2 linked regions of the Oryzias latipes genome follow. The protein of the gene in region 2 interacts with the protein of the main gene of each other region in a biochemical or structural test. Links are inferred from orthologs where the notes say so. Each region holds a gene or a part of one and is shown on either strand. Other genes may lie near its edges.

Evidence for each region. The genes of interacting proteins can lie anywhere in the genome.
Region 1: the proteins of grb2 (region 2) and axl form a complex in vitro, tested with the Homo sapiens proteins (2 studies listed by BioGRID, with this or other methods). The link is inferred for Oryzias latipes from reciprocal best matches to the Homo sapiens genes GRB2 and AXL.

What each region holds. Positions count from the first base shown.
Region 1 is NC_019871.2:3,220,757-3,224,507, forward strand, and holds the start of axl (tyrosine-protein kinase receptor UFO), read right to left. Parts: upstream 2,606-3,751; 5' UTR 2,308-2,605; coding exon 2,166-2,307; intron 1-2,165. UniProt on the Homo sapiens protein: Receptor tyrosine kinase that transduces signals from the extracellular matrix into the cytoplasm by binding growth factor GAS6 and which is thus regulating many physiological processes including cell survival, cell proliferation, migration and differentiation.
Region 2 is NC_019866.2:20,732,401-20,735,493, reverse strand, and holds the end of grb2 (growth factor receptor-bound protein 2), read left to right. Parts: intron 1-596; coding exon 597-785; 3' UTR 786-2,570; downstream 2,571-3,093. UniProt on the Homo sapiens protein: Non-enzymatic adapter protein that plays a pivotal role in precisely regulated signaling cascades from cell surface receptors to cellular responses, including signaling transduction and gene expression.

The sequences.
Region 1 (3,751 bases), on a different chromosome or scaffold from region 2:
GGAGTGGGTCTTTAAGGTTTGATTGAGCAAAGAGCTTTAGGTGCAAACTTAAGACATCATGGGAAAAATACATTTGTGGTTCAGACTCAGTCAAAAACAAGCCTGGATTTGCCATAAATCATGCCAACGTAACGGTTGGTCATCATTCCTTAACCGAGCTGAATGTTGGTACCCACAATTCTTTTGGATTTCAGATTCAAACAAGTCGACCTGCATGTTTGTGGAGGATCTCAGTCGTCCAACCGAGGCGTGTTTTCCGCTCTAAGGGAACCGGACTTCTGTCTTTTCTGGGAGACGTTTCACTTCTCAAATATAAACACCTTCAAGAATGCCTTTAAGATGATAACCTACGGGTTCAACTTTCATTGAAAAGCAACTTTCTTTGAATATAAAATAACTGTTGTTGTGTTTTTAAACTGAAGTGGAATTTTTCTTCATCAATCCATCACTTTATTTGAGGAGCAACCTTCATCAACCTGCATGGCCCACAAGGTCCTCTACATGATAAAAGTCATAAAACACAACAGATTCAAAAGCTGATAGAAAATGATGATTTGAAAAGGCCCAGTACAGATAATTAAGTCATAAAATAAATGAATAAGTAAATTTCTTTACTGAAATTAGAAACTATTTTAATAAAAACTAACAGAAAAGCAGTTTTTTGGCTAAAGAATGTAAAAAAATTTACTTAAAAAGAAAAGGAAAGTCTGATTGATTGATTCAGCTATTTCAATGTGAATATGGATCCAAGGAATGAATGGGATTTTTAAAGTCTGATGTAAATAAAGTGTCAGGATCTTTATGTTGTCAGTGAAACATGCAGAATGCTGAGTTATGGGACAGCTCTGCCTGCTTCGTTTGTGCGTCTGCTTCATGTTTGTTGGCACTGAGCAGCCCTGCGGCGATAAGAGCAGGTGAAACACAGTTTATCTCCCCCCTGGATGACTTTGAAACGAGTCGGCCTATCTTGTTCCTCTCGCTGATAGCGAGGCTGAGCAGGAAGGTCGGCGCTGCTCCGCCACAAAGGCCTCTTGTTAGGGAGCTGGGGGGCACAAACTGATGATGAACATCCAATCCTGCAGAATCCTCCTGCTAGATCCTCCTGCTGGATCCTCTTGCTGGATCCTTCTGCAGAATCATTCTGCTAGATCCTCCTGCTGGATCCTCCTGCTGGATCCTCCTACTGGATCCTTCTGCAGAATCAATCTGCTGGATCCTTCTGCTGGATCCCAGAGACTCCAGGAGGAGTAAACTGTTTTCTCTGACTGCAGGCCAAAAATAGCTTCAAGCTTTCTTGGCTTCGGATGCAACTCGGGAAGATTTTCTCAAGCTTGTCAGGCGGGGCGTTGAGTCTGTTCGAGCCGACCTTTGACCTCCACCCAGTCGCTGTGGAAACAGCCATGAGTCCCCTGAGTTTCCCTCCCGATCCTCAGATCACATTGATGCAGCTCATAAACAAACGTGGGAGCGAGCAGCGGCTGAAAGGCCCGGCCGCCTCTTTGTCTTCCACGTCTTTGTGAGGCTGGCTGAGCCCTTTCAGACCGGACCCCTGACTCGGTTTGTTTCTCCGCCGCGCTTGACAAAAGCAGCTCCGCTTCCCTCCTTCCTGTCCCACATGGAACCATGACAGCCTTCGGGAGAGATGGATCCGCCTGGCATGGAAACAGCCGAACCTCCTCTCAGGGTCTGAGCAACAAATCCTCCTGCCTCTCTGCAGGATTCCTCCCCTCCGCTCACGCCTGCACCTTTGCCCCTCTTCATTCCATTCTGCAGATTCATCTCTGCAGACTTTCCAGCCTCCTCCACCCGTCAGGTCATCCATCACTGCCCTGCTCGACTGCTAGTCCCCCCGTCCTGACAGGTGAGGAACCTTTCTGAACACATCCTGGATTGGATTTTTTTCAAACTCATCACATGAAGAAGTTTCTAAATCACCAGGAATCTGAATTAGGATGGATTTAATGTAGTGTGAACTGGAAACATGGGTGGGGAGGGAGGGGTCGTTTTTCCAGAAAAACTTTTTCCAGGAACATATTAACATGACAGAGTGTGCTGACAGTCACAGAAACATCTGCATGAAAGAGGAGACGAGCTGAGGTGGAAACCTGCGCATGGAAACCCAATCACCTCCCTCTGGGCCGGATGTCCGCTGAGGAGCGGCTTACCTGACAGCTGCGCCGCGGCCGCCGGCGCCCAGGACGCCAGGAGAAGGCTGAGGAGAGCCAGGCTGCGCGCCATGGCTCCTGGGAGCGGATCACCTGAGAGGAGGCGCGCGGGGACAGCGGTTGTGGCGCAAAAACACCCCATCACCGCATCTCAGCAGCGCCAAGAACCGAACCTGCGTGGAACCGACACGGTCCGAGAAAACCTTGAAACCTAAAAAAAAAATTAAAAGCCCGCAAATCCTGTTGGATGATCCTGAGAAAAAGCGCAGCAAACATCCACGAAGTTGTTGTTCAAAGTTCCTCTCCACTCCCCTGACTTCTTCCCCCTCTCCCCCTTCTAACAGGATTGAAATTCCTCAACTCAGTCTTTCCCTCCTCCCCTCTCACTTCTCCTCCTCCTCCTCTTCAGTCTCCCTCCTTCTCTCTGAGAGCTTGTGAACCCCCGGCTGTCTGTGCGCGGCCCCTCGTTCGCGCATTCATGACGCGCAAAGACGCGTTTCTTTCAGGACTCTGGTGATTTCATCAACAACCAAAAAACTGTCAGATCAGCTGCTGAACTGAAGTTCTGCTGCTTCCTCAAACTTTTCCCTTCAGACTCTCATTTATGACATTTACGCGCCGCTGGCGCTGTGGGTTTTCAGCCAAAACAATCTGGACTTTTATCAGCTGCAGTCTAAATAAAAGCGTCTGCAGATGCGCATCTGCGCCGCGCTGCTGCGCGCTTTGATGTCTGCGTGGAGGTGACTGATCTGCGTGTCTGTCTGCTGAGGCTGCGGCTCTTCTGGCCCTTTAAGAGCCGCGCTCCCAGCGGGGCTGAGAAAGGGCCCTTTGTGTCAGCTCCGCTTTCAGACTGCAGTGGGGAGACACGGGCAGGGAGGGGCACCCGAAACGCGCAGTTTTCGGGTCTGGACAGGGGGGAGAATTCAAATGCAGGACCTTGGGATTAAATCTAAAAGAGCGTCTGAGAAAAAGAAGTCTGTGCCAAACTTTACGCGTGGCTTTACAACGCAACAGGGCTGTGAGTGGAGATGAAATCCAGGTGCGCTGAGAGTCCCGCCCACATAGCTGCACACACCTGTGTGAGAGATGGCTGTGGCAGCAGAGGACCCTCGCGACACCCACAGCTGTAAGTGGGAGCTTCTGTGAAGCAGGTCATCCTCAGAACATCCTCCTGAAGGAAGACTAGAGAGGCAAACGGCTGCAGGATCCGGAGCTGCAGACACCTGTGCAGATCCTACTCGGGTCACAGCGGCGCTCTTCTGCCCTCTGCTGGTCAGTCTTCGCACTGCACGCATGTCAGAAACATCAGTCAACTGCTGGACTCCTCACTTCTCCCCACTCCATTCCGGACTTTTTTTCCATTCTCTATGAATTTGTCCCATCTTGCAGTCATCCCAGGACCACATCACCTGAACAGGAAGGTCTTCTCCATTCCTGCTCCTTTGACCTCAGTGGTTTACAGTTCACTGTTTGGTTATAATGCTGCTCTAATGAACTTACATTAGAGGTAAACTCAAATATACAGTATGTGTGAACATAAATGTCCACAAATATGCTTTCTCTGGATGATCAAACCGGGATTTTCG
Region 2 (3,093 bases):
GTGGATTCACGTTTATTACGTTTAGAAAATACTTATTTTTACGTTAAAGGACATTTACGAATTTTCCTACAGCATGGATGAATTACGCTGGCATGTGTTAAGAAACTCGGCACAGAAAATGTTCCTCTGTGTTACAAAAAAAACACGATCAATCAGGATTTATGTAGAAATGAAATATGAAAAATCTTTTGGTCCTGAAAGATGATCAGAGCCTGGGTTGAATTCTCTGTGTTAATGACGTTTTTATTCAATCATTCTACAAATCAGCAACTTGGTTTCATTGAACCGTCATCACCTGTAAAAGTAAAAACACAAATATTTTAGATTTAGATTCAGAAACCGGAAGCTTAAACATATGAAATGCAAACTTTGGCCCCCTTTGGACCGGTCCTTGAAAACATTGTTTGACATTGAACCGGTCCGCTACCTGAAAAAGGTTGGAGCCCCCTGATCTAGAGAACAGCAGCAGAGAGGAAGACGGAGGAGGGAGGGGCTTAGTGAGATGAAGATGGACGTTCTGTTTGACTTTGCTTTAATGGGAACATTGAATATGAACATTTCTAAAATGGAGATCTTTCTTCCTCCTCTGGTCTCAGCAGCATCCCACGTACGTACAAGCGCTCTTCGACTTCGACCCGCAGGAGGAAGGCGAGCTGGGCTTCAGGCGCGGCGACTTCATTCAAGTCCTGGACAACTCGGACCCCAACTGGTGGAAAGGAGGCTGCCACGGCCAGACGGGCATGTTCCCGCGCAACTACGTCACGCCTGTCAGCCGGAACATGTGAAGCAGCCAGCCGCGTTCAGCCGCAACCATTTCCGTCATCATTGTTTTTTGATCTCATCACCCCCGCCTCCAGCCCCGGTCCGGCCCCCACCCACCACCCACCCCCCGTCCCCACAGAAACAGCAAACAACTGAAAGAGAACACGAGCACTGCTGTAGTAGGCGTCACTTTGCGGGTGACAGCTGAGCAAAGTCGACTCTCATTGGTGCCGAGAATGTCCCCGCCCCCCGTGGAACGCCTGGGGGGGGCTGTGTTTGAGGGCAGTCTTAACGCAGAGAAGCCTAAAGCAGCGAGGAGAACGGAACATGTCTCCGCCTCCTAACATTCTGCCTTTCACTCCTTCTTCTTCCTTTGCAGCATGTTTTAATCACTTTAATGAATTCCCTTCAATAAATCCTCTCTTGTTTTAAAGGAGAAAAATATTGAAAAAAACGGAAAAAAAAGAAATTGTTTTAAAAATGTACAAAAAGAAAACTGATGTCAACAAAACAGTAGGTTTCCATGTTAAAGACCATTGGTATGTGAGCATTGTACTTCAGCCGTTGGCTGCATAAATGAATCAAGTATAGAGAGAATCCATTTTTTAAGAAAATATATTATATATTTGTATGTTTGTTTGTTTTACCTCTCATCACAAATTATTTTCCATTTGTAAATTATGTTCAATCTTCTGTTAGTCAGGGTTAAGACCTTGTAGCTCTAGAATGTGATGAGTTGTCTTTTTTTTTTTTTTGTCTGAATCTATCGGAGGTTTTTCCAGATCAAACCGCACGACATCCGAGGCGCCAAAAAGTTCCATTCGGACGAGGTTTCTCTGGTCTGTAACGCAACTACAGTCAGTTCTTTCAAGAATCTAATGTCGACCAGCAAGAGGACCGCTGCAGAATCAAACGGACCCTCTGAGGACCGCTTAGGTTTTGAAAGCCGATTTATTTATTGCAGCCGATCGACTCGGGCCGTGAATGTAGCTGACTGAATCTGTAGACGAACATGAGGGAAACGCAGTCAGAACCACACAACCACGCAAGGGATTTGAAGTCATGCTGAAATGTGGTCATTTGTAGTGAGCGCTGACAGAGGACTTGTACAGGTAGACTCCTTTTCAAACACATTCATTACTTGCATGCATCAGCAGACGCTCTCCACCTTGTACGCGCACCAAGCAAAGGGGTGGAGTTCGGCTAACCACGCTGACTAATCACCAGTGAAAACCTGCAGCTGGCACAGATTCAGAGTTTGGAGAACTGTGAGATTGTCTGTTTTCCTATTTTTTTTTGCTAACATTTGAAAGACGAGCTGAGATGATGTAAAGATGTTTTTTTGTTCCTAGTCTTTTTTTCTGTTTTTTTTTTCCATCGTGGTGTGTGGTCAAGCACTTTTTATTTTATTTTTTTGTTTTGTTTTTTTGTCAAGCCTAAGTTTTGTTCTGGTCCAAATGTGTGTTTGTTTACTGTGTTTGTGTTTCTTTTTCTCTCTGGATAGTGCCTTTCTCTCTGGTGTTTTAGTGTCTCTGACCTGCTACTTTGAGCCCCCCCTCCCAGCCCCCTGAAGCCCCTTTTTGGGGCCTGCCAGTCCTGCAGCCAGAAATGATGTAAATAATATAAAATAGAGAAAAGCGCCCCTCGGTGCCCCCCCTGCCCTGTTTTACTCCTCCTACATGGACCCGCTTCACCTTAGGTCTCACCAACATGGAACTCGCCTTGTCTTATCTAATGATAATGTTTTGTTTTTTATTTGCATTCTTGTTTTTTTTTTTCAATGAATTAAAAGCAATTATTAAACTTGTGCTGAGGTCTCCTGATTTTTTTTCTCCCACAGTCCAAAAACGGGCTTCACAGGTTCATTGATGACTGAATAGGTGTGCATGTGTGAGGGCGAAGGGGTGGGGGGCCAGCTGCCCTCCCAGCAAAAAGCCTTGCCCCCCAGGAGCAAAGACCTGTTTCCTTTCACTATGACATTTCCCTCTGCACAGGTAGCCAGTTTGCATGGGTTTTCTTAACCCGCGGGGTTGCCTCAGACCGTCCCGGCTCCTGTTGAGCGAAGGAGGGAAACACCTGGGACAGGTCGCCAGCCTGTCGCAGGGCAGGGCCCATGGGGCTCTAGACGAAATCTTGAGGCCCTCAAATGCTGTTTCCATGCTATGGCGAGAGGAAATTTAGATTTTAGGAACATTCAATGATAAAGCTAACTTTAAAATAGCTTAATAAAATCTGGGAGCTCCACCACTGCCCCATTGGGAGAATGTTTCTTTTCATTTAAAGAACTTTTATTTTGAGTATTTTTGACTTATTTGGGGGGGGGGGGGGGCT